7 linked regions of the Canis lupus familiaris genome follow. The protein of the gene in region 4 interacts with the protein of the main gene of each other region in a biochemical or structural test. Links are inferred from orthologs where the notes say so. Each region holds a gene or a part of one and is shown on either strand. Other genes may lie near its edges. The genes, in order: RASA1, SHC3, TNS2, ERBB3, BCAR3, HCK and GRB7.

Region 1 (3,500 bases), on a different chromosome or scaffold from region 4:
TGAAGTAAGTCTGCAGAGAGTCTCTGGCTGAGTCCTTAGATTCAGGCTAGGGAATTCAGACTTACGTAGATGAATCTACTCCACTGATTCTAGATCAGAAGTCTTAGATTTTCAAGGGCTACTGGAAAAATTTTGAGAAAGGTTCATTATTCTGTCTACAGCATTCAGAAAAGCCTTTCTATTTTAATATGAGGGTTGTTTCAAATATAATTAAAGATTTTATAATACATGGTGATCATTATTCTCAAATACTCAGTATATTTATGTGTATGTGATCACTAAAGCTGGATTTCTGTCTTGTAGTTGAGAATATTGTTTTAAAAATAAAGTCTAATCTAATTTCTGTGGCTATTAAAAATCTGTGGTAAATGAATAAGAGAACTTTATCACTGTTATGAATCCCAGAGCAACTAAAATGTTCTGAGTAATCACTGCTTATTGTACAGTTGAGTAATTGGGAATCAGTGGTAAATGAGTTCCATAGAGCAAACTACTTAAGAATTCCCATTTATACCCACCCCCCCCAAGAGCTAAAACAGATTGAAAAATGGAAAAACAGAGAACCTTGAAGAACTACTGTTTACCTTGATTCATTTGCATTTATCATTGCCAAGATGCATTTATATTAATTTATTCCTTCTCTTAGTTAAGTCCATCAAAGTTAGAAAAAAATGAAGACGTGAACACTAATTTAGCACACCTATTGAACATACTTTCAGAGCTTGTGGAGAAAATATTCATGGCTTCAGAAATACTTCCACCGTAAGTGGTGAAATTTTAATTTGACAAACGGTACTGCATTTTGAAAAATCTGTATTTCTAAAACATGTAAACTTTTGAACTATCTTAATGTTTTTTACTCTGGAAGTTTTTTTTTTTTTTTTGTCTTTACAAGGTAAACTGTGTTTAAGGCAAAAGAGTGACTTGAAGAAACCATGGTGGTGAAATATTTACATTAAAACAAAATTGTGTTTTCATACAGGCTAACATGTCTGGTTTATATAGTAACTTGGGTCATGAATAGAGACTTATAATCTCAGATTTGAGATCATAGATATCTTAGTTAAACGGACACCAGTTTGTACCTGCTTAATAGCTTTTAGTGTAAGTGAATTCACTTATTTAGGTAGAAGTTATCCTATATCACTGGAATCTGAACTTATTTCCGGTACTTTTCCCCGCATTAATACAGAGGCACTGTAAGAATGTTAAGATTTCTTCCAAAGTAAATGTAAAGAATTGACTAAATGATGATGAAAACTATTTGTTTTCCTTATCCCTTGCTGAGTGTGTCCTTCCTTCCTTGTAACAGAGTACTTTTTTGGGGGGAAAGGCCAGTTGCATTCATATGTGTATTTACTAAATTAAGCTTCTGGCAGCAATGAGATCAGCATTTTTCCCTTGGTTTGTGTATTGAGATGATTGTGTTGTTTTGGCAGGACACTGAGATATATTTATGGGTGTTTACAGAAATCTGTCCAGCACAAGTGGCCTACAAATACCACCATGAGAACGAGAGTTGTTAGGTAAGGCTCATCAATTTACTTGTTATATATCATTGTGTATAGTATGCAGAGTGGCTGAAAATTTGGAGTAACAGTATACAACTCAAGACTTTTTTATTTTACTTTTATCTCAGAACCCTGTTGAATATTGGCTGAGTTCGGACAGCTACTAAGTTTTAACTTTATTTTTGGGGGGACGTTACCAAGAGATATTTAGCTACTTTGTGCATTTCTGAAAACCTCAACGCTTACGTATAATCAATTCACTATTGGGAATTTTTATCCTGTGGACAGAAAGGTTAAAAGTTACATAACCAGCAAACTCTTTAGCTAACTTTATATAGTAGTAATCGTATACACATCACATTACCTACACGCATGTACATACATCTAGAGAGGAAGAAGAGGGAAGGGAAGAGTGGGAGGAGTGAAACAGAGCTTGATGTGGTGCTACCAAGGAAGAGCAATAACGGAACCACTGCGGTGCTGACTGATGGGTTTGTAGCAGTGGTTCTGTGCTAAGCTCCAAGCCAGAACCTCCAGTTCCAGTGAGCTTGCCACACAGTAATTAGGAGGAATTGCTTTGGGCAAGTCACAGGATGTTGTACCTCCTGTACGGCAGCGGGACACACTTTGATATCACTATTTTAACTTTTTCTGATGAGGAAGCAGATCTGTAGAAGTTAAAATTGTTTGCTTAACTTTATATAGAAAGGGGTCGTACTAAGGCAGAACTAAAGGCCAGCCTTCTAAGATCCAGTCAGATCTCTGACACCATTGTAGGCTTTTGATAGGTACACCCGGCCCACTGAAGACCACTGGAAATCAGTGTCAAAGCATCAGAGAATATAGGGGTCTACTAATAATAGATTCAGTAGAATACATCCTGCTGTCATGTTATATCCCATTAAAAAAAAACAAAAAAACAAAAACTAGACAACCACTGAAGACACCAATAGCATACATTTAGTTTTGAAAAAAAAAGTGTTAATCCTGCCCTCAACCAAAGTTTTGTAAAGAGGCTTCTACTTTCGTAGAGAATATTTCTCTTGGTTAGTAATGATATGACATAAGAACGAATGACAGATTCTCTATTTTTTCACTAGTGGCATAAGTTTCAGCACAGTTTTGTGTGTGATGTAAATTAAAGCCTCTGTAAACTGTTTCAAACAAATATAATTGTTAAGCAAACACAGCAGGAATTTCTGCTGTGTGAATCGTCTGACACGATAGGGTTTTTAAGGGGTATTGATGCCCAAGGTGATGATTTCTGTCCCTACTAACAAGCCTTTAAATATATATGTATGTATCTAGTATTCCTTTTAAATTTAAAATCACCTTTACAAATTCACAGAAAATAGATTTGTATACTGAAATTCTTTCATGATTAAATTATAGGTTATGGTTCAAATTCAAACAAGTATCAAAATGTTTTCAAGCAAATTTGTGCAAGATTCTTCATAAATTAGTTTAAAAAAATATTTAAAGAGCTGATAATTGTGTATTATAATTGCAATAAATGGTATCTGAGAAGTAACAATCATTTTCTAAGAGTCCAAAAAGTAGTAAGCTGTCATTAGGTTGGAAAGTAAATGTCATAAAGTTGACTTATCCTCTCTGTAATGGAGAAGGTGAAAAGTGAGGTCTTTTTAATAAAAGCTTTATATTTATAGCATTCTATTGTATACATTTCCATTTATCAAGAAGTCACTTTTCTCTACTAGAATGGATTCTTATTTTTAGGATTCACCAGCAAAATCAGTTATAATCAACTTGATTTATACAGATTTTATTTGGCTATTCTATTTAAATAAGGAAAGAAAGAAGTGAGAGAATGAGAGTTTTAGCACCATATAGGCCTGTCTCTATAAAAAGGATTAATTCATACTCCTATAGTATTTCAGAAAATCTTAGTGTTCCTAAAGCTACTGCTTCCTCAGAGTAAGTATACTGGAATAAATAAGGAGTTGTCAAGACAGTAAATGTTACAGATGT
Region 2 (3,500 bases), on a different chromosome or scaffold from region 4:
GAGTGAGCACGTGTGTGCCCGCCAGAGGGTGTATCGCCCTTTCTTGCTCAGGTGTTGTCTTGCTCAACAGACTTGAGGGCTCTGTGAAGCATGCCTTTCACCGTGGCAGCCTTAGCAACTGATCCAGTATTGGGCACCTATCAGCCCACTAAGATTTAAGTGAATACACAAACCAGTGTTGTTTTGTGTGTATTATCATTTGTCCTGACACATGTGCAGATCTCCAGGAGGACAGTCATTCCAGAGAGAGGAGAAATGGCTCTGCTTCTAGACCTGAGAGGGGGTGCCATCCCAAAGCAGAGGGCAGCCAAGCTCAGAGCCTTGGAAAGCCCAATCACAACCCAGAAAAGTGCACAAAGGCATCCCTGTTCACCAAAACCCCGCTAGCAGAAAGCGTGCTAACTGCACAGATGTCAAGCCGAAAGCAGTGCAGAGAGCTCAGAGGAATGGCAACCCACTCATGTCGAAGAGGTCCTTCAGCGGGCTGCTCTCGGTGCTGCTGCCCGAGGCCGGCGTGGCTTGCACGGGGATGTGCTGGGCGTTCACGTAGGTGGGGGCTTCTCCGGGGGCCGCAGGCACTCTCGCTTCCGGCGTGCTGTAGATGTCCAAGGACCCTGCAACAAGAAGACGAACCCTCTTTCCTCTTACAATGGAAACTCTGGTCATTTGGGCACCATAGGTGAGCTGCCCCGCACCTCACAGAGACGTTCCTATGGGCCATCCATCAGGTAACGCCTCCCGCGGGTCCCCATCACCTACATGCTCCTCTTCGGACCCTGTCACCACTGCTCTGCGCTGTCCAGGACAGTCTCCCAGCCTTCATGCCCCCAGCTCTGTGCAGGAGGCCCAGGTGGGCGTGTGATCGAGGACCCCTACCCCCAGGCAGTGCCTCAAGGGGACCTCTCAGCTGGGCCAAGAGCAAGCCAAGGCCAGCCCAGGAGCGAGGGCCCTGCCATTGTCACCCGAGGGGTGAGGGTATTGGGTGATCACACCTGTTCAGGGCACAATGGGAGCCCTGTACCTGACACACAGATATACCCTTCTGCAGGGCCATCTCTGGAGAGAAGTGCCTTTCACACCCTATGGGCAGCCCAGTCCTGTGGGCAAGAGGGCTTTCTAGGCTCCCCAGAACCCATAGTGGGGCTTTTGGCAGCAAAACATGCATGAGAACGCAGGTGTCCCGGGAAAAGTCCTTAGTGGGGAGTGAGACCAGCAAAGTCAAGAACGGTCTCCACTCCTACTCCTGGACACCACTTCACGTGTCCTGAGTTACCTGTCCTGGCTCAGCCGTGGCCATTTGCAGCTCGTGTGTGTAGGTGCTGCAAACAAATCAGCCTGTAGGAAGGATTCTACAGACTAATTTTTTAAAAGGAGAAGATGAAAATCCCAGTGAACAGCTTTCCTGACGATGGCCCTTTCCCTCTCAGACCAGGGCAGGTGCGGAGCTAGGGCAGGGGACACACAGGCCATGAGGGTGCCGGGAGTTAGTTTTCAGTTAGGGATGATGGCTGCCAGCAAGTTAACAAAGGACATTCTTATTCAACAGAAGAAGATATTTATTGCTTTCAAATGAGAAGCAGAAGCTTGTTGAGGCATAGGAGCCCCAAGTTTCAGGCACGTGTCTGCCCTGGCGAGTCTTTATGTTGTCTGGTCTTGATCCGGCCAGGGTGGCTGGAACATACAACAAAAGACCTCATTTTTAAGTGAACCTGACATTTTTCCAAAAAAGTCAATATCTAATGTAAATAATGTGTCTGTTAGGCCTTCGCAGTATTATGTGGTTAGGTACACATCTGTTATATAAATACATTTTAAGTGTTTGTAGAACAAAGATGGAAACATAGGAAAAACGTGCCTCCAGCAAAGTGATGACTCAGGTTAGCTGAGTCTGTCCTATTTTAGATGGAGCCACGTGGTGGCCCTGGCCAGGCCCAACCCTGTGACAGCCCAGCACATCCAGGTCCCCCTGCAGCTGGGTAGGCAACACCTGAGACGGTCTCACCAGGGGGAAGTTCTAAAACTGTACTGTCAATAAATAAATAAATAAATACATACATACATACATAAATAAATAAATAAATAAAATAAAACCGTACTGTCATTTACTCCCCGGCACAAACAGCCGTCAGGAAGGGGAAAGTCTCAACATCAAACCAAGAGATGGTTATATGTATATACATGGACACGTACGTCGGACATTAGGTCTTAATTCACTTGTCGCTCCTTCTCCATCAGACGCTGTATAGTCACCAGGTCTCTGAGTTATTGAAAGAGCAAGAAGATGTTTGAGGGAGCAACACATTTAAAATTAGAAATGCAACTGATGGAGCACCTAGCTCAGGTCGTGATCCCGGGGTCCTGAGATGGAGTCCTGCATGGGGCTCCCCACAGGGAACCTGCTTCTCCCTCTGCCTGTGTCTCTGCTTCTGTGTGTGTGTGTGTGTGTGTGTGTGTGTGTTTGAGTAAATAAATAAAAATCTTTTTTTTTTCTAAAGAAAAGAAATGCAACTGACTTCTGTGCATTGATTTTTGTATCCTGCCACAAATTTGCTGTATGAGTTGCTGATTTGCCACGTGAGTTCTAGCAATCTTAGGGTGGAGTCTTTGGGTTTTTCCATATACCATATATCATGTCATCTGTGAAGAGGGAGAGTTTGACTTCTTTGCTAATTTGAATGCCTTTTATTTCTTTTAATTGTCTGATTGCTGAGGCTAGGACTTCTAGTACTATGTTGAATAGCAGTGGTGAGAGTGGACGTCCCTGTCGTGTTCCTGATCTTAGGGGAAAGGCTCTCAGTTTTTCCCCATTGAGAATGATATTTGCTGTGGGCTTTTTGTAGATGGCTTTTATGATGTCGAGGTATGTTCTCTCCATCCCTACACTTTGAAGAGTTTTGATCAGGAAAGGATGCTGTATTTTGTCAAGTGCTTTCTCTGCATCAATTGAGAGGATGATATGGTTCTTATCTTTTCTTTTATTAATGTGATCTATCACATTGATGCATTTGCAAACAGCCAAACTGTGGAAGGAGCCAAGATGTCCATTGACAGATGAATGGATAAAGCAGACGTGGTCTATATACACAATGGACTATCACTCAGTCATCAGAAAGGATGAATATGTACCATTTACATTGATGTGGATGGAACTGAAGGGTATTATGCTGAGAGTAGTAAGTCAATAGAAGAAGGACATTCATCATATGGTCTCACTTATATGGGGAATATAAGAAATACTGAAAAGGATTATAATGGAAAGGAGGGAAACTGAGTGGGGAAAAATTAGAGAGGGAGACAAACCATGAGAGACTTAACTCTACAGAACAAACTGAGGATTGCTGGAGGGAAGGTGCATGGTGGGATGGGTAACTGGGTGACGGGCACTATGGAGGGCACATAATGTCATGAGTACTGGCTGTTACATGTTGGCAAACTGAATTTTAAAATCAATCAATCAATCAATCAATCAATCAATAAGACATTTAAAAAGTGAATTAAAG
Region 3 (3,500 bases), on a different chromosome or scaffold from region 4:
GTCCAGCTCCTGGCGCTCGGCGGCCGTCGGGGGAGGCCGGCCAGGGGACTCGGCGGCCGGCTCGGCGGTCAGCGTGGACGAGTGGCCGGAGTCGCTGCTGACGGAGAGCATGGGGGGCGGAGGTGGCTCCGGGGAGGGTGCCGGCGGGGTCTGGCGGGGGGCCCGCTGCACCTGGGCGTAGGGACTGCCATCCAGAGGTCCCCGGGTGTGGGTGGGGGAGCCTGGCGGGAGAGGACCAGGGAGGGAGTGAATGTCGGGGCCTGCCGGAGGCTCCAGCTCAGGGGCGTCTGCGGCGGGGAGGGAGGGAGTGGGCGGCCGGGCCGGCCCCGCACCGTCCACGCTGTCCTCGTGGTGCTGATTGAAGTGCTCGTAGGAGTCCCAGCGCACGGCGGGCTCTGCGGTGTTGTAGTCAACGGAGACCGAAGGGTCATTCCGTGGGGTGCTGCCTGCGGAAGGGCCACCCAGGTGTTGAGGGCCGGGGTGTCACCTGCAGCCCCGACCTGCAGCCCCGACTTGTAGGCCCGACCGGGGCTGGCTCTCACCTTTGACCTTTTCAGGGCTGGAGGAGAAGACGAACTCCACGGAGGCTTGGAATGGGAACCTCTCATCTGGGAGGGGAGGCGGGGGACACGGTGAGGAGCCAGGTCCCCTGGCCGCCCCCTCCCCGGGCTCCAGCCCCACACCTGTCTCCCACTCACCAGCCCAGGCCTCGTCCAGCTGGTCCTTGGGGAAAGTGAGCCGTGGTCCGTGGATGGTGCACGTGTGGAACTGGACTCGAAACACAAGGGTCCGGTCTGTCCCCCGGCCACCCTTGTGATAGCAGGTCACCTGGATGAGGGAAGGGAGACCGGGGGTCAGGCCTTCCTGTCCGCTGGCGTCCCCTCTGTGCTTCCGTCCTGGGGACTGTCAGGCTGCGGCTCTGCCCTGCCTCAGCTCAAGGCGATGCCCTCGCTGGGGACGGGCTCTCCGCCGGCCAGTGGGCCTCTGGATGACTCACGGGAGACCGTGCAGCTGGCGCGTTCGCCCCCCCATGCACCCCCTCCCCAGGATGGCCCCCTCACCATGACATCGCCCTTGAGGAGGAGGGCCGGCTCCAGGCTGATGCAGAGCTGCTGCGGCCCGGGGCCGGCGATGTGACTGAGGAGGAGAGGGACGGGACAGAGGCTGAATGGGAGGCAGTGGGGCTGGGGTGGCGGCGGGGGTGTGGGGCGTCAGGAGGGAGCCGCGAGCCTGGGGTCTGAGCCCCAGTGAGACGCCTCCAGCTTGCTCAGCATCAGCCTCTCCCTCCTGGTGCACCAGGTGCAGTGGCCGGAGCTGGAGGCGGGGGCGCCTGGGGAGGCTGGAAGGGCAGGAAGGCCGGGAGCAGAGCACTCACTAGATTCCCGAGGTGTAGACCAGCTGCATGGACTGGTAGATCTTGAGGAAGGGCTGGAAGCCTGGAGGGGCAGGCGGGAGAGGGCGCGGAGGGGCGCTCAGCGGAGGGGCTGGAGGACAGGCCTCCCCGCGGGGCGCCTCGGGGCACACTCACCGGTGCCGGGCTCAAAGGCTGGCAGCACGGGCACGAGCACGTAGTGCAGGAAGAGGGGGCTGCTGTTCATTCTGATGGAGCCGGACAGCAGGCCGCTGAAGTAGCTGATGTACCTGCGGGGGTCGGGGGCAGGAGGGGGGGACGTAAGCCTCGCCCCTGGAGGTCCCTCTGTTTCATCTCTACTAAGCACACCCCTGCCCAGCCTTGGAAGGCCGGCCCTTCTCAGCACGCCCCTCCCGTCTCCCGGCTCACTGGAAAGTTCTTCCTCACATCTAACCTCAACCCTCTGCCGTCTCAAAGGTCTGTAGTTGCTGGCTCCCCCGCCTAGCCTGCTCTTCCCCCCAGCCCTCTGCTTCCCATGACGAGGTGGGCTCCGACTGTCCTGCAAGTCTGTCTTTCCCACAAGCTCCGTGAGAGCAGGGACCGTGTTGGGCCTGAGTTCTCAGCGCAGGCCCTGTGTCCCGCGGGTGTGCTGCTCCTACGAGCGACCCTCGGCCTCGGGGCCCGCGCTGCTCCGGTGGCCCAGCCCCACCCCGGCTGCTCACCGGCGCTGGGAGGGCTGCAGCTCCGCGGCCACCTTGTCCTCGCAGAACTTCCTCATGGTAAGCGTGGCCAGCGCCTGGTCTGCCCTGGGGACCGCAGGGCCAAGTGTGGGGGATTAGGGGCTGGTATCTGTCCAGGCCTCCCAACCCCAAGCCCCAGGGGAGGGAGGAGATGTGTGATCCCCTAACTCTAGAGGAAGCCCCGGGGTGGAGGTGGAAAGAACTAGAAGCCCCACATACAGTCACTTGACTACTCGCTGGACCTCAGGCAAGTGTTCCCTGAGTTTTTAGTTTCCTCCTCTGTAAAACGGGGGTGATGAGACCATGTTATGGGTTGAACTGTGTCTCCCCAAAAGATATGTACCTCAGAACGTGACCTTATTTGGAAATAGGGTCGTTGCAGATGGAATTAATTAAGATGTTATACTGGAGTAGGGATGAGCCCTTAATCCACTATGATGGGTGCCCTTAGAAGAAGAGAAGAGACAGACAGACACAGACACACACACAGGAAGAAAGCCACGTGATGACCGCGGCGGAGGCTGGAGGGACGCAGCGGCAAGCCGAGGAGCGCCAAGCACTGCTGGTCACCACCAGAAGCTAGACAGGGGCAAGGAAGGGTCCTGCTCGGGGTCTCAGCGGGAGCGCGGCCCTGCCGGCCTCTCGGTTTTAGACTCCTAGTCTCCAGGGAGACAACTAGTTCCTGTTGTCTTAAGCCACTGAGTCAGTCTGTGACATTTTGTTACAGCAGCTCTGGGAACCTGATACAAATCCTCTGCTGGGAACTGTGGTGAGATACAAGTGAAAAAAGGAGGTGGAAAGGCCAAGTTTATAGGAAACGGCTCTCCAAACACAAAGGGGGGCTTCAAGGGGGATGGGCCCATCACCGGCAGCTGGAGACAGGGTCACTGGGGAAGGGGCCGGTCAGGGGCCAGGGAGCCTCACCCTGCAGAGATCTTGCTGTAGTGCATGTAGGCGGAGACGATGACGCCGAGCTTGCCCTTGCTCCCCTGAGGACAGGGGGAGAGAGAGAGAGAGGGGAATGGAGGGCCAGCCGGCGCCCCAGGCTCAGGGCACCCCAGCCCCGTGAACCCGAGGTCCCAGCCCACCTTGCAGTACAGTACGACCACGTGCTGTGGGTCAGCACTGAGCCACGTCTCCATGGCTTTGCAGATGGAACACAGCTTGTCCAGGGGGGGCGCGTGCAGCTCGGGCCAGCCGAAGTCCTGGACCTGGGCGGGTGTGGGGGTACAACTGAGGGTGGGGGCCGCGACCGGAGAGAGACGGGTGGGGCTGGAAGAGGGAGCGGGTGTAGGGTCAGTCGGGGCCAGGGTCAAGGGGCTCTTGGTCCTCCAGGAGAGCCTCACACTTGCTCGCTGGCACATGGGTTGGTACCTGCTGCGCCATGCTTTGGAGTGTCTCGGGGAGCA
Region 4 (3,500 bases):
TAGACCATGCCCACATTGTACGGCTGCTGGGACTGTGCCCAGGGTCATCTCTGCAGCTCGTCACTCAGTACTTGCCTCTGGGTTCCCTGCTGGATCATGTGAGACAACACCGTGGAGCACTGGGGCCCCAGCTGCTGCTCAATTGGGGAGTACAGATTGCCAAGGTGAGAGGAACCTGGCTGGTGGCTGGCAGGGAGGTTGAAGTTCTGAGAGGTGCCCTTAGGGTTTGGGAGGATTCTGGATCTCAAGGATCAGTTCCACCCAACTTTGAGAATACGTCCTTCCTCTGTAGGGGATGTACTACCTTGAGGAGCATGGTATGGTGCATAGGAACCTGGCGGCCCGAAATGTGCTACTGAAGTCACCAAGTCAGGTCCAGGTGGCAGATTTTGGGGTGGCTGACCTGCTGCCCCCCGATGATAAGCAACTACTACACAGTGAGGCCAAGGTGAGGTGACACAAAGGGCTGGGTAAGGAGGTGGGGGTGGAGTGAAGCATGGGAGTAGAGAGTAGTCAGTGGTCTCCTTCAGAGGCAAATGGATGCTGCACAGTACATTTGAGGAGAGGAACCTGGAGATGGAAATTCAAGTTCAGAAAGCAACAAAGAAAGGAATGAGAGAGAACTTGGGGCAGAGAAGTGGTGAGAAAATTTGTGGAAGTCAACTGATGACACTTTTGCCTTTAAATCCCCAGACTCCAATTAAGTGGATGGCCCTGGAGAGTATCCACTTTGGAAAATACACACATCAGAGTGACGTCTGGAGTTATGGTCAGTCCCTTTGGATACCCTCCATACTGTCACTGGTCCAAATTCCATAGTTGCCTTTTGAGAGACCCCCTTTTCAGAATTTCTGAGCCCTTCAGATCCTTGTGTGAGATCAAGTTCTGCTTTCCCTTCATCTTCATGCCCATGTCTATTATTTTGCCATCAACTAGTCATATCTTCCTCTACCAGGAGTGACAGTTTGGGAGCTGATGACCTTTGGGGCAGAGCCCTATGCTGGGCTACGATTGGCCGAAGTACCAGATCTGCTAGAGAAGGGGGAGCGATTGGCACAGCCCCAGATCTGTACCATTGATGTCTACATGGTCATGGTCAAGTGTGAGTTACTTGCTGATCCCAGCCATTTTCTCTTTCTTTCTCTTTATTTCTTTCTTTAAATAATTAATTTATTTGAGAGAAAGATCGAGAGAGCAGGGAGAGGGGCAGAGGGAGAGGAAGAGAGTCCTAAGCAGACTCTGCACTATGCAAGGAGCCTGATTCAGGACTCAATCTCATGACCTGAGCCAAAACCAAGAGTCAGATGCTTAACTGCACCACCTGGGTGCCCCCCAGCCATTTTCTAACTGCTTTCCCTCCCTACTCTACTCCCCTCTTATGGCTCTGCTTCCTACATCTTGCCACCAGGCTGGATGATTGATGAGAACATCCGTCCAACCTTTAAAGAACTAGCCAATGAGTTCACCAGGATGGCCCGAGACCCCCCACGGTATCTGGTCATAAAGGTGAGTAGTGGTTAGGAGTTGTCAAGGAGATCTAGAGGAAGGGGGACTTGGCTGGAACTAGGATCCATCTTAACAATCACCTGCCCCTACAGAGAGAGAGTGGGCCTGGAATTCCCCCCGGGGCAGAGCCCCCTGCTCTGACAAACAAGGAACTGGAGGAGGTGGAGCTGGAGCCAGAACTGGAGCTAGATCTGGACTTGGAGACGGAGGAGGATGGCCTGGCGGCCACACTAAACTCTGCCCTCGGTTTGCCAGTTGGAACACTTAATCGGCCCCGTGGGGTAAGGCATTTCCCAGTTTTAAGACTCTGCACCCTGAGCCCTCTATCTACCTAGACCCTCATGAACCCCACTGATGCCCAGATTAACTACTTAAAAGCCCCCAGGGTGAGTAGATTTCTCCCTTAATCTAAACCTTCACTTTTTTCATCCTAGAGCCAGAGCCTCTTAAGCCCATCATCTGGATATATGCCTATGAACCAGGGTAACCTTGGGGACACCTGCCAGGTAAGGTCTGTCTCTTTAAGGGGCTGCTGAGAAGCTGGGTGGCAGTTTCTTAGAATCCATAGGGGCCATGTGGGAGGCTTTAGAAATCCTTGAGGTTTAACCAGTGCCCCACAAAAAAGAAGGCATCGAACAACCCAGTCTCTTAAAGGAATACCAATTTTTCCTTCGTCTCTGTATAAATTTCCATGTATTACTTTCCTCCTTTAGGAGTCTGCCATTTGTGGGACTGGTGAGCGGTGCCCCCGTCCAGCCTCTTTGCACCCAATGCCACGGGGACGCCTGGCATCAGAGTCCTCAGAGGGCCATGTGACAGGGTCCGAGGCTGAGCTCCAGGAGAAGGCATCAATGTGTAGAAGCCGGAGCCGGAGCCCACGGCCACGAGGAGACAGTGCCTACCATTCCCAGCGCCACAGCCTGCTCACTCCTGTCACCCCACTCTCCCCACCAGGGTTGGAGGAAGAGGATGTCAATGGATATGTCATGCCAGATGCACACCTCAAAGGTGACTGACTCTTCCTAGAAATCTTTCTCTGATCCCTGCCCCCAGGCTCCTCGTCATCCTTTTGTCTTCTCTGATCTAATCCCTCCCTTTGCATAATTTCCTCTTTCCCCCAGTTCCCACCAGCTACTACCATGTTCTCCACATACCTACCCTCTCTTCTCAACCCTTAGGTACTCCCTCCTCCCGGGAAGGCACCCTTTCTTCAGTGGGCATCAGTTCTGTCCTGGGTACTGAAGAAGAGGAGGAAGATGAGGAGTATGAATATATGAACCGGAGGAGAAGACACAGTCCACCTCGTCACCCTAGGCCCAGTTCTCTCGAGGAGCTGGGTTATGAGTACATGGATGTGGGATCAGACCTCAGCGCTTCCCTGGGCAGCACACAGAGTTGCCCACTCAACCCTGTGCCCCTCATGCCCGCTGCTGGCACAACCCCAGATGAGGACTATGAATATATGAATCGGCGACATGCTGGAGGAGCTCCTGGGGGAGACTATGCAGCCATGGGGGCCTGCCCAGCCGCTGAGCAAGGGTATGAAGAGATGAGAGCTTTCCAGGGGCCTGGAAACCATGCTCCGCATGTCCACTGTGCCCGCCTCAAACCTCTACGTAGTTTAGAAGCCACTGACTCCGCTTTCGATAATCCTGATTACTGGCATAGCAGGCTTTTCCCCAAGGCTGATGCTCAGAGAACATAACCCCTGCTCCCTGAAGTACTCAGGGAGCATTTCATGGCAGCTAGTGCCTCTAGAGGGTACCCCTCATCTCCCTAGTCCCTTCCTCACAGGTCTCAGTCCTATTTCCCCAGCCCTAGACAATTCCATTCAACCTTTGGAGGCTTTTAAACACTTTGACACAAAATTCTTGATATGTAGCCAGCTGTGCACTTTCTTCTCTTTCCCAATCCCAGGAAAGGAGATTTTCCCTATTTTGTGTGCTTTCCTAAACCCATTCGTCAGCTTCCTCAGGGGGACTCCCTGGAGATAT
Region 5 (4,212 bases), on a different chromosome or scaffold from region 4:
TAAAAGGCCGTGCCAGCGTCAGGGCTCCTGGATAGGCTGAGGCCTCTGTGACAACCACCTCTCAGTTTCTCTCTCCCCCTGTCCAATCCCTACCTCTCTTATAACCCTGCAGGCATCATTTCTGAGAGAATTCTCCAATAAACTACCTGTATGCAAATCTCTGCTTTTGAAGCTGTTTTTTGGGGAAGTTGACCTATAACAGATCTATACCATTGGTTATATAGGGCTGCTAATGCAAATTACCATAAACTGAGTGGCTTAAAACAGTAGAAATTTATTCTCTCTCATTTCTGGAGGCCAGAAGTTCACAATCTAGGTGTCAGCAGGGCCACACTCCCTACAGAGGCTCTTGGGGAGAATCTTTTCTTTTGTTTCTGGTGGCTGCCTGACTCCAGTCTCTACCTCCTGTCTTCACATGCCTATCTACCCATGTCTATTTAGCTCTTTTCTCCTCTTCTAAGGACTTAGCATTGGTTTCAGGGCCCACACTAATCCAGGATAGGCACCTCTTGAGATCCATAACTTAATTACATCTACAAAGACCCTTTTTCCAAATAATGATAGTATCTAAAGGTTCTGGGTGGGCACAACTTTTGGGAGACCACACTCAAACCACTACACACACTCAAATATTAAAAATGTTATACCCTAGGATGGGAACTTATCTATAGATTATTTAAATTTTCTTCTTTGTACTTTTTTATTTCAAATTTTGTACAGTGAATGTGTATTACTTTTGCAAGAGTAATTGTTTCTTAAGTTGGTAGTTTGACCTAGAGTGTACAGTCTGAATTAAAATGTATCTGCTCTCTGAATAGAGGGTAAGAGTTGGTGGACCACAGATATGCTGAAATACTGTCCCATTATAAAACTCTTAGACTCTGAATTCTTTTTTTTTTTAAGATTTATTTATTTGAGGGAGAGAGAGAGCACATGAGCAAGGGGGAAGAGCAGAGGGAGAAAATCTCTAGCTGCCTCCCCACTGAGCCAATGCAAGGCTTGATCTCACATCCCTTAAGATCATAACTTGAGTCAAAATCATGAGTCAGGGGCACCTGGGTGGCTCAGATGGTTGAACATCTGCCTTTGGCTCAGGTTGTGGTCTCCGGGTCCTGGGATCGAGCCCCACATGGGGCTCCCAGCTCAGCGGGGAGTCTGCTTCTCCTTCTCTCTCTGCCTCCTGGCCCCACTCGTGTGCTCTCTCTCTCTCTCTCAAATGAATAAATAAAAATCTTAAAAAAAAAAATTGTGAGTCGGATGCCTGGCCGACCATGCCACTCAGGTGCCCCTAGATCCTGAATTCTTAAATGAAGTATAATTTTGAAGACATTGCTAGGCTTACAGGAAGTATGGTGACTAAGTTCTCTTCCAACCTTTTCTCCCCAGAATATGGAAGATGAATCCAAAATTGCATCCAGGAGTAAAAGTCGACCTGTGAATAAGTGTCAATATGGGAGCCAGTCTGGGCATGGGAGCCTTGGTCCAGTAGCAAGGTAAGATGGCCACATTGAACCCAAGAAACTCTTAAGGGGCTTAAATGGTCCCAGATTAATAGCATCACTCTGAATCTAGACAGAAACAAATACAAATTATCTACTTGCCTCATCCCCCAAAATAAATTCTTAACAGATTGAAGAATTAAATGTAAAAGCAAAACTTTAAAACTTTTAGAAAAAATACTGGAGAATCTATTTATGAGTTCTGGGGGGGGGAAAGCATCCTTAAATAAGACATAGTACTAATCCTAAAAGAAAAGATTAATGAATGAAACTACATTAAAATTATTATACCATAGGGACACATGGATGGCTCAGTGGTTGAGAGTCTGCCTTTGGCTCCAGGGGTGATCCTGGGGTTCTAGGATTGAGTCCCACATCAGGCTCCCCAGAGGGAGTCTGCTTCTCCCTCTGTCTGTGTCTCTGCCTCTTTCTCTCTCTGTGTCTCATGAATAAATAAATAAAATCTTTAAAAAAATAAAATTATTACACCATAAAGAAAATTAAAAGACAAACTCCAAACTGGGAGAAATGCATATAATCACAAAGGATTGGTTTCCAGAATATATAAAGGATTCCTATAAGTCTAAAAGAAAAAGACAAACAATCCAAGGGGTTAAATGAGCAAGAGACAAAACAGGCATTTCACACACAGAGAAAAAAAAAAAAAAAACCCACACAAATGTTTGGTAAACACATGGGAAGATTCTCAGCTTCATCAACAAAGGAAATACAGGGCAGGCCGGGCCATTTTAAGAGCATCACAGGCCCAACTTATGCTTATTTTTGGAGGCTTCATCTAATATTTCACATACCATAATGCAACCATATCCCACATTCAGCCCATTTACTCAATATGTATTTTTTGAGTACCTACCAGGTGCCAGGAAATGTTCTGTGCACTTGGAACATATTGGTGAACAATATTCACCAATATTGGTGAACAAGTGTGGTTAAAGTCTCTACGCTCATGGAGCTTACATCAGGTGGGACGTAGATAGCAAGCATGAACAGGTAGCTATATGTTGTAGTGTTGCTAGGAGGCAATGAGTGTCATGGGATAGAGAGGAAGAGTCATGTGGGGGGAGAAGAGGGTGGTAGGATAGAAAGCTGGGGGCTGGTATTTAAACAAGGTAGGTCTCATAGTGTCTCCCTTGCTCGTCAGTTCCCTTGAGCCCTTCAGGATGTTGCTTTCTGGGGTATTGGCTAATAGCAGCTTGGAGGGCTTGCTCCTCTCAGAGATATTTGCAGGTGGGATGTGGGGAGACATTCTTGAGAACACCTCCAGCCCCAGCAGGAGGTACCCTCCAGTACAGAAGGCAGGTCAGGGGTAGAAGAGACACTCCAGTGGAGTATGTGAGGCAGAGGGGACCTTCTATCTCTTTTCTGCCATCCTCTCCTACAGCTCATCCCAGAATAGGGGCCACCTCTCAAAAAATCCATTAGGAAAAACTTTTCAGAGGAGAGTGTCCATCCTCTGCCACTGGAGCTGGGGGGCAGGAGGGGCTTTGGGGTTGCTCATACTGGATAACCAATTATGTAGATGCAGCCTCACCATGCCAGCAGGAAGCATGAAATGTGATGGCTTGATGCTCCTTCTTGGACAAGGAAGAATTGAAGGCAGCTCTCTGAATTCTGCAGGCTCTGCTTACAGGTACAAGTTGGATGGGGGTCTATCTCCTGGGAGTTTCTAAATAATCCAACAAACAAGGTCTCCCGCAGGTATATTGGCCTGTAGTTAGTGTTGGCCAAGTGGAAGCAGCCTAGAAGGTGCTATTGGCCAGTAATGGACACAGACCTCAGAAGACCACTTACGATGAGACCGTTGGGATGACAATTCTTTCCTGTAGGCCCCCAGCCATCAGCAGCTGGCATCTTAACTCAAGGGGCCCCCTACTCTCCTTTCTAGGGCTTCTCTTATGTCTCACTTTGCCTGATATCCCCAAGCACTGTCCGAGCCCCAATGGGATCAATCTCTCGCCCTTGTTAATCATTTTATTGCCACCCAATTGGTTTGCCCAAAGCCCCTTTTGCCCTGGACAGAGAGCCGGCCCTTTTTTCTAGGTCTGCAGGGACAGAGGCCCTGCCGTGAAGTCCCTAGAGGGAGGTAGCCAAGTGGCTTCTTTTTCACACTGGAATGCAACTTCCCTTTCCAATTAGAGACCACACAGGATGAAAAATGTGAGCAAGGCAGCCTTTCCAGCATGAAAACCCACCAGCCTTTACCAGGAAGAGCAATCGGGGGGCCTGCCTTCCAGTCCCACCTGTTTAAAACTCCCAGCCTCCTTCACTGGCTATCATGTAGGCCTCATTTTCCTTTACCTACCCCCAGTCCAAAATTGAGATTCTATCTCTGGGACAGGTTGTTTCTCTGGGCATGTCCAGTCCCCACAGTCCACCTCCCAAGGCTTGTTTTCTTTTGGCTTGTGTGGCAGAGAAAGATGTCTCAGGCTTTTGAGACAAAAATAAAATTCAAACAAACTAAAACCAAGCAGGAAATCCACATCCTTTGTTAAAGATAGGCGCTCCTCCCTGGGACCCTGGGCAGGAGGTTAACGAAAGGCCCGCGAAGGCCTGAAAGGAACAAAGGTCTCAGCTACAACAGTGGAGCCATATGCATTCCTGATCCCAGGGCAGGGACCAGGGGCCACCCCACACATCACTTCCTGGCCATGCCGAGGGCCCGGGCCCAGTGGCCTTCCCCTACGGGAATGGA
Region 6 (4,061 bases), on a different chromosome or scaffold from region 4:
AGTTGAGAAACCCTGTGTAGCCCAGCACTCAGCACAGTATTGCTGAATGAATGAATGAATGAATGAGTGAATGAAGAGATGACGGTGGCCTGAAATGGCTGGTAACAGAGGGAATACAGAAAAGCTGTAAAATTCTTACACATCTTGTGTGCTTGGCAGACTTTAGTGCGACAAAGCTCTTTTTCCAGAAGCAGTTGTGCTCTGCCCTTGCCTGGTGCTGGGCACATCTCATTCATGTGGGGCCTCCAGGTGCCCTCCAGCTGGGCATCCTGCCTCCTCAGTTTTCAAAGTCCTCTGAGCTTCCCAGCTGCCGGAAACCGCCAAGAATGAGCCAGGGTGGTGCCTGCGGGTGAGAAACTTTGCTTGCCGTTTGAATAGCGCGGGGCCTGTGGAGCGGAAACCGCTGACCACAGAAGGACCAGGAAGGCCTGGGACACGGTGTGGGGGAGGGGCCTGGGCTCCAAGAGTGGATTGGAGTGTAGAGAAAACCGATCAGAATGCTTGGGGCGGGGGATTAGAATCCTGCGAGAGTGCCGAGGTAAAGGTTTAGGATCCTTGTGGGTCACGTTAGAATCCTTTGATGAGGGGTTAAAGTCCTTGAGGGTAGGGTTGGAATTTTTGGATGGATCGGATTGGAATCCGAGGGGGGATTAAAATCCTTTGGAAACAAGATTGGGATTATTCGGGAGCAGGATTAGAATCCCTGGGGTTAGGGTTATGAATTTGGAGGGCTGGGTCAGAATCCTTTGAAGAGAAGGGATAAAATCCTTCCGTTGGCCGGATTAGAATCCTTGGGGGACAGGATTAGAAATCTCCTGTGGGTGAGGCTAAAAAATCCTTCAAATGTGAAATTCAAAATCATTTGGGGGCAAAACGAGGATCTTGGCAGGAGACGGTGTTGCGGTTCTTGGGAGGACGAGTTTAATCCCTTTGGCGACCACATTAAGGTTTGGGGAGGCGGGGATTATAATGCATTAGGTTAAGTGCTTGGAAGAGGGCGTGGGGTTAGGATCTTTGGGGGACGGATTAAAATTCTTAGGGGCAGGTTTATTATCCTTCCGGGCCAGGGTTAGGATCCTTAGGGGCAGGGTTGGAAGCCTCTGATGGGCGGCGTTTAAAAAAAAAAAAAAAAATCCTTGAGCGGTGGGATTAGGGTGCTGGGAGGAAGGGCCTGGGATGAGAGTCCACGCTGTGGGGTCAGAGTCTTCAGGGGCGGGGTTAGGATACACGGGGGTGGGGTTAGCATCGCTCAGGGCGCGGCTAAGGAGCCCAGATGGCCTGTGGGTGCCACCGAGTCCCCGGTCCCAGCCCGAGCGCACCGCTGAGGCCGAGGCGAGCAGGAGGGGGCGCCGGGGGTTCAGCGCCAGGGGAGCCCGAGAAGCCGCGCGGCGCCCAAGCCCCTCAGAGGCCGCCCTTTGCCTTTTCTCCAAAGTCAGCCCGTCTCCCTTCGGGTGCGGGCGCCCCGGGAGTCCGGGGGCTGCTGAGCTGGGGGGGCGTTCGAGCTGCGAAGATCCGGGCTGCCCGCAGGAGGAGGAGCGGGCGCCCAGGTGAGTGGCGCGCGGACGGCGGAAGCGGGAGGGTCTCCGCGGCGGGGGACGGTGGGGGGAGCCCAGCGGGGGGGCAGGGCCGGCTGGAGGGCGGCAGGAAGGGGCGGTCCGGGAGCGGTGGACGCGCGGAGGGACCGGGGGCCCGCGACGAGGGCCGGGCTGGCCGGGCTGCGTGCGAGCCTGGAGGAGCCCTAGGGGAGAGGAGCCCCGGCCCCCGACGGACTTGGGTCCAGCCTCCGCTCCTCTGAGCCGTCCAGGTTCCCCTTCTGCAAAAGAAAAAAACGAGAAGGAAGGGATGAGGCTCTACCGACCGAGAAGGGAAGGCCCTTACGGCCCCTGGTGGGGGTGGGTGACGGGTCACGGCAGGTTGGCGGCGGGTTGGCAGCCCGTGGTGGGGAGGGGGACAGCTGGCCGGAGGCGTGCGGTGCGAACCACACCCAGGCGGGCCTGCAGCTGGGCCCACTCTGCGCTCCCTCCTCCTCCCGCGCTGGGCCCTGATCCCCAGCAGGTCTGGGTCAAACCTCAAAACCTCCTGGACAGACCACAGGGTGTCTCCCCGCCTCCTTTCCGCTTCGGTGAGACCTTGGGCCGAGTCGTGCTCCCTTTCCGAATTCCAGTTTTCTCCTCCGTCAGATAGGGCTAGATTCTTTCTCCAAGGCTACAGTGAGCTGGAGTCTGTGGGGGTCATGCAAGGGGAAGTGGGATTCTGGGAGCAACCTGCCTGTTGACCTTTAGCAAGGGATTTGGTCTTCCTAGGCCTCTGCTTTTCCACCTATAGGATAGGGATATTAATAATAATGACTCCCTCCCAGGGTCGTTTTGAAGGTTAGGTTAAGTTATTCATGGAAAGCTCTTGGAGCGTTAGGTCACAGGTATAGGTGCTTAGTACTCGTGAACTATTGTCGCTATTACCGTCTAGCCAGTGCTTCCCAAATGTTAGCAGTACACCTGGGAGGCTTGTTAAAACACAGATTTCTGGGCCCTGACCCCAGAGTTTCTGATTCAGTAGGTCTGGCTGGGGAATCTGAGAATTTACATTCCCAGGTGATGCTGCTGTTGCTGGTCCAGGGACCACACTTTGAGAACCATTGCTGTAGCCTTTGGCCAGCACAGAGAAAGACTTCAATAGATATTGGTTCCTTTATCCCATGGATTTCTCTTCACTATCCTTTTTTTTTTTTGGGGGGGGGGGGAGGATATTAAAATAAAGAAAAGTGAAAGAAATAATATAGTAAATATCCCATGAACCCACCACCCAGAATTAAATGTTTCCCTCTGGCTTTTTAAAAAATAAAAGTCTTAAAAGTAACAGATAATACTGAAGCCTCTCCACTTGTCTCTCTCAGTCCTGTTTTTCTCTCTGCCCAGAGGCAACCAGTCATGAAATATAGTCCTTTCCAGTCTGTGCCTTTATGAATTTATTACATAGATATGGATGCATAAATAATACATAGAATTGTTTTTCTGTGTTTTAAAGATCTCCAAAAACGCTATCCAGCTGTGAGATTCTTCTGCAATATCGTTTTTCTATTCCTTGCCTTATCATTAAGTTGTCAAGGTCTAGCCAGGATGAGAAACAAAGGCATGCATAGTTCATTCTTTCTCAGGGCAGTATTTCTGCAAGTGACCATCCTATCTTATTTCTCATCCCCCAGTTGTTGGACATTCAGATGTGTAGCAAGGCTTTTACTACAATAAACTATTCTGCTGGGACCATCCTGGATGTATGGCCCTGGTGAAGGTGGGAGGGTGCAGGTGTTTCTTGGGAAAACACTGAGGGCTGGATGGGTCTCCAGAGGGGGCATCTGTGAACCTCTCTTGTGTGCAAGGAGGACTGAGACCTGAAAGGGTCACCCAGGTAGTCTGGATCAGAGACGACAGAGAGTCTGGCTCTGCTGACCTCCCAGGCCTCCTGTTCCAGGTCTGTTTTCCACTGCAGGAGAGCAAAGATCTTCATTTGCCTGACACTTGGTAAAAACTCAAACAATGGAAGAATGACTCCTTTTTAAAGTTTTTTGGGGCAGCCCAGGGTGGCTCAGTGGTTTAGCGCTGCCTTCAGCCCGGGCCGTGATCCTGGAGACCTGGGATCGGGTCCCATGTCAGGCTCCCTGCATGGAGCCTGCTTCTCCCTCTGCCTGTGTCTCTGCCTCTCTCTCTCTCTCTCTCTCTCTGTGTGTGTGTCTCATGAATAAATAAATAAAATCTTTTTAAAAAAGTTTTTTGGATAACAGATATTTTAGTTTACTTTTGTGTAGTCTTCTTTTCTGTGTGCTTTTTATTTAACGTAATCAGTAAACTGCTGTGGTATACAATTTTCATCCTACTTCTTTGCTTAGCCCTATATTATAAACATTTATCTATGTCATTAAAATCTCCTAGGATTTTTTTAATTGTCAATTTATTTTTTAAGTTTATTTATGTATTTAAGTAATCTTTACACCCAACGTGGGGCTCGAACTCATGACCCTGAGATCAAGAGCTGCATGATCCTCCAACTGAGCCAGCCAGGTGCCC
Region 7 (3,033 bases), on a different chromosome or scaffold from region 4:
CTAAGCCAGGAAGTCGTGCAGATGAGTCAAGGTTGAATAGAGAGCCCCAGGCAGTGCTGTCCCGCCCCACCCTGACTCACCTGTCCCCCAGATCCCCTCACTTAAGGGTCAGGGGCCTGCTCCATTGCCAGGTGCTGCAGGCTGCCTCAAGGCACTGGCCTAGGTCTCAGGTTCTCCCAGGTCCTCCCAGGTTCTAGCCCTGCCAGAGGGGTCTGTGCTGCCTCTGTCCCCAGTGGGCATCTTTGCCTCTGCTCTCCTGTCCTCACTTGCCCTCCTCTGCAGCACCTGTGGGTGCTAGGACGTGGGTGAGACTCTGGCCCTGCCCGGGAGTGCTGGGTGGCTCCAGACCAGTGGGTGGACAAAACAGGTGCGCTTCATTGGCACAGAGGCCAGTGCAGAGAGGGAGCCCTTCAGTCTGAAGGCGGAAAATCCAGGAAGGCTGCTCAGAGGAGGTGACTTTGGCATTGGGGCTTCAGGAAAGTTGGGCAGGAGGAGGAGTCTGGAGAGGGCACGCAAGGTTTAGGGGCTGCTGGGGCAAGGGTCCCCAGGCTAGTCCTGTCTGAGTCTGCCTCCTGCCCTCCTGGTTCCTGTCCTTTTCCACCTCCTTCTCCCCTTCTGGCCATCACTCAGCACTTGGGCAGGCGTTGCCACAACAGGCTCTGGCAACTAGATCTGGCAACAAAGCACTGGAAAAACCCGGGGCAAAGCCCAGAGGAGTGAGTGTCCCATGCTCGGGGCAAGCTCAGAGACAGAGTCAGCCTCGACCGTATGTGGGTCATGGAGTCTGTTGCTGCTGCCCAGCTGGTGTGTGCGGGGGTACCCTCTTAGCTCTTCCCCTGAGCAATGTGGGGCCAACAGAAGAGCATTAGATTTGGAGTCAAAACAACAAAGTTCCATCAAAGTTCCACTCATTGACTCACCTGTGATGGGGGCAAGGATGCTTCCTTCTTAGGGACTTGATGTCCCCTTCTTGTAAATGGGCTCATGCTACCCTTCCCCAAAGGTTCCAGGGAAACTCCAGTTAGAGGGGGAGCAGTAAGGTGCCGTGTCAACTCGGAGGGGTACCTTTACAGCGGTGTGAAGTCTGGAGGTCTGGGTCCACTTGGCCCTTCTCTGCAGGACAAGGGCACACGAGCAGCTGCTTTCAGTCACCTCTTCTCCCTTAGATGTTATGGAGCTGGGTCTGTCTCCACCTCATCTCAGCAGCTCCCCAGAAGACCTGTACTTGGCTCCTGGGACCCCTCCTGGGACTCCCCCACCTCCCGATGCTCCTCTGCCTGGGGAAGTGAAGAGGTCCCAGCCTCTGCCCATTCCGACCAGCAGGTACAATGCGGTGATGGAGCTGAGAAGGGGCTGGTGGGGGGGGGGGGGCAGTCAGTGTTGGGTAAGTCAACAAATTCTCTCCCCATCCCCCACCTCGGGCCACAGGAATCTTCTTCGAGAGGAAGAGCTACGGTCAACCTCTCTGCCTTCCATCCCCAACCCCTTCCCTGAGCTCTGCAGTCCTCCTTCACAGACCCCCATTCTTGGGGGGTCCTCTGGTGCAAGGGGGCTGCTCCCTCGAGATGCCAGCTGCCCCCATGTGAGTTGTCTTGGGAGAGAGAAGGCAGGGATATGGGGGTGCTATGGGACTGAGGCGGGTAGGGTGCCCCCTCCCTGGAGGGGGGAGGGAAATTCAGTCAGGAGTCCCTGAGGATATAGCAGGCAGGGGAAGGGAAATAACCCCCCTTCACCCTTCCTCAAGTCACCTGCAATTCCTGGGGTGCAGGTAGTAAAGGTGTACAGTGAAGATGGGGCCTGCCGGTCTGTGGAGGTGGCGGCAGGTGCTACAGCCCGCTACGTGTGTGAAATGCTGGTGCAGAGAGCTCATGCCCTGAGTGATGAAAACTGGGGGCTGGTGGAGTGCCACCCCCATCTAGCACTAGGTGAGTTGGGGTGCCAGGGGCTGTCTCGGGCAGGGAGGCAATGCTTCACACTTTGGGCTAGGCAGGTAGCCCCCCTGGGAGGCCTGTCTGGTGTCCGCTGACCACTGCTTTCGGCCCTTGACTCCAGAGCGGGGCTTGGAGGACCATGAGTCCGTGGTGGAAGTGCAGGCTGCCTGGCCCATTGGGGGAGACAGCCGCTTTGTCTTCCGGAAGAACTTCGCTAAGTACGAACTGTTCAAGAGCTCTCCGGTGAGTGTGTGTGAAGGGCGTCTGGGCACTGGGACACCCGGGCCCCCAGCCTGGGCCCATCGTCCCTGATTCCTGACTCTTCCCCCCAGCACTCCCTGTTCCCAGAAAAGATGGTCTCCAGCTGTGTGGACGCACACACAGGCCTATCCCACGAAGACCTTATCCAGGTAAAGGGACACCCCCATTCCATGGCATATTCATGATTCCCCAGGATCGCCTATTGCTTTTTTGGTCCTCAAGCATTGTGCCTCCCTCTATGTGGTGGGGAGCCTCGCACAGTCCCAGGTGACTGGACAAGTCCCTCCTTCCTGGCTGAGTGTCAGTTTCTTGGTCTGTGAAATGGAACAATAAATGCATGTGGAGCACCTTCTCTTCTGAAGCTGTGTGTGTGTGTGTGTGTGTGTGTGTGTGTGTGTGTCTCCCTTGTCTCCCTCTTGGCCTCTCACCCTCTTCCTGCTCTCTTCTGGCCTCAGAACTTCCTGAATGCAGGCAGCTTCCCAGAGATCCAGGGCTTCCTGCAGCTTCGAGGGTCAGGACGGAAGCTTTGGAAACGCTTCTTCTGCTTCCTGCGCCGGTCTGGCCTCTATTACTCCACCAAGGGCACCTCCAAGGTGAGGTCTTGAGGGTTGACAGCCTCTGCCCCTAGGATATCCCCTTCCCGGTCCTTCTAGGAGTTATCTGTTGTCTCTTCCCTGTTGGAACTCCTGGATCTTTCTCCCCTTGGGACCTGAGACCCTCAGCTGCTCCTCTTTCCCTCCTGACTCACCTACCCCAGGAAGGTAGTGGGAAAGGCAGGTGGAACTGAATCTGAGTCCTGGCTCTACTTCTATTTGCTGTGTGACCTGGGGCACTTATCTGC

Evidence for each region.
Region 1: the proteins of ERBB3 (region 4) and RASA1 form a complex in vitro, tested with the Homo sapiens proteins (2 studies listed by BioGRID and IntAct, with this or other methods). The link is inferred for Canis lupus familiaris from reciprocal best matches to the Homo sapiens genes ERBB3 and RASA1.
Region 2: the proteins of ERBB3 (region 4) and SHC3 form a complex in vitro, tested with the Homo sapiens proteins (2 studies listed by BioGRID and IntAct, with this or other methods). The link is inferred for Canis lupus familiaris from reciprocal best matches to the Homo sapiens genes ERBB3 and SHC3.
Region 3: the proteins of ERBB3 (region 4) and TNS2 form a complex in vitro, tested with the Homo sapiens proteins (2 studies listed by BioGRID and IntAct, with this or other methods). The link is inferred for Canis lupus familiaris from reciprocal best matches to the Homo sapiens genes ERBB3 and TNS2.
Region 5: the proteins of ERBB3 (region 4) and BCAR3 form a complex in vitro, tested with the Homo sapiens proteins (2 studies listed by BioGRID and IntAct, with this or other methods). The link is inferred for Canis lupus familiaris from reciprocal best matches to the Homo sapiens genes ERBB3 and BCAR3.
Region 6: the proteins of ERBB3 (region 4) and HCK form a complex in vitro, tested with the Homo sapiens proteins (2 studies listed by BioGRID and IntAct, with this or other methods). The link is inferred for Canis lupus familiaris from reciprocal best matches to the Homo sapiens genes ERBB3 and HCK.
Region 7: the proteins of ERBB3 (region 4) and GRB7 form a complex in vitro, tested with the Homo sapiens proteins (2 studies listed by BioGRID and IntAct, with this or other methods). The link is inferred for Canis lupus familiaris from reciprocal best matches to the Homo sapiens genes ERBB3 and GRB7.

The regions. Positions count from the first base shown.
Region 1 is NC_049224.1:21,209,550-21,213,049, reverse strand, and holds part of RASA1 (ras GTPase-activating protein 1), read left to right. Parts: intron 1-646; coding exon 647-762; intron 763-1,439; coding exon 1,440-1,526; intron 1,527-3,500. UniProt on the Homo sapiens protein: Inhibitory regulator of the Ras-cyclic AMP pathway. Stimulates the GTPase of normal but not oncogenic Ras p21; this stimulation may be further increased in the presence of NCK1.
Region 2 is NC_049222.1:97,790,375-97,793,874, reverse strand, and holds part of SHC3 (SHC-transforming protein 3), read right to left. Parts: intron 615-3,500; coding exon 459-614; intron 1-458. UniProt on the Homo sapiens protein: Signaling adapter that couples activated growth factor receptors to signaling pathway in neurons. Involved in the signal transduction pathways of neurotrophin-activated Trk receptors in cortical neurons.
Region 3 is NC_049248.1:44,543,468-44,546,967, reverse strand, and holds part of TNS2 (tensin-2), read right to left. Parts: intron 3,303-3,500; coding exon 3,180-3,302; intron 3,081-3,179; coding exon 3,016-3,080; intron 2,538-3,015; exon of another isoform or gene 2,435-2,537; intron 2,158-2,434; coding exon 2,074-2,157; intron 1,642-2,073; coding exon 1,529-1,641; intron 1,437-1,528; coding exon 1,376-1,436; intron 1,138-1,375; coding exon 1,062-1,137; intron 829-1,061; coding exon 699-828; intron 609-698; coding exon 543-608; intron 447-542; coding exon 333-446; intron 222-332; coding exon 1-221. UniProt on the Homo sapiens protein: Tyrosine-protein phosphatase which regulates cell motility, proliferation and muscle-response to insulin. Phosphatase activity is mediated by binding to phosphatidylinositol-3,4,5-triphosphate (PtdIns(3,4,5)P3) via the SH2 domain.
Region 4 is NC_049231.1:771,852-775,351, forward strand, and holds part of ERBB3 (receptor tyrosine-protein kinase erbB-3), read left to right. Parts: coding exon 1-164; intron 165-292; coding exon 293-448; intron 449-693; coding exon 694-769; intron 770-955; coding exon 956-1,102; intron 1,103-1,408; coding exon 1,409-1,506; intron 1,507-1,598; coding exon 1,599-1,787; intron 1,788-1,940; coding exon 1,941-2,012; intron 2,013-2,219; coding exon 2,220-2,514; intron 2,515-2,684; coding exon 2,685-3,211; 3' UTR 3,212-3,500. UniProt on the Homo sapiens protein: Tyrosine-protein kinase that plays an essential role as cell surface receptor for neuregulins.
Region 5 is NC_049227.1:55,859,888-55,864,099, forward strand, and holds the start of BCAR3 (breast cancer anti-estrogen resistance protein 3), read left to right. Parts: upstream 1-1,412; 5' UTR 1,413-1,493; intron 1,494-4,212. UniProt on the Homo sapiens protein: Acts as an adapter protein downstream of several growth factor receptors to promote cell proliferation, migration, and redistribution of actin fibers.
Region 6 is NC_049245.1:21,973,118-21,977,178, forward strand, and holds the start of HCK (tyrosine-protein kinase HCK), read left to right. Parts: upstream 1-1,261; 5' UTR 1,262-1,547; intron 1,548-4,061. UniProt on the Homo sapiens protein: Non-receptor tyrosine-protein kinase found in hematopoietic cells that transmits signals from cell surface receptors and plays an important role in the regulation of innate immune responses, including neutrophil, monocyte, macrophage and mast cell functions, phagocytosis, cell survival and proliferation, cell adhesion and migration.
Region 7 is NC_049230.1:22,698,345-22,701,377, reverse strand, and holds part of GRB7 (growth factor receptor-bound protein 7), read left to right. Parts: intron 1-1,166; 5' UTR 1,167-1,171; coding exon 1,172-1,323; intron 1,324-1,428; coding exon 1,429-1,582; intron 1,583-1,768; coding exon 1,769-1,925; intron 1,926-2,052; coding exon 2,053-2,174; intron 2,175-2,263; coding exon 2,264-2,341; intron 2,342-2,647; coding exon 2,648-2,785; intron 2,786-3,033. UniProt on the Homo sapiens protein: Adapter protein that interacts with the cytoplasmic domain of numerous receptor kinases and modulates down-stream signaling. Promotes activation of down-stream protein kinases, including STAT3, AKT1, MAPK1 and/or MAPK3. Promotes activation of HRAS.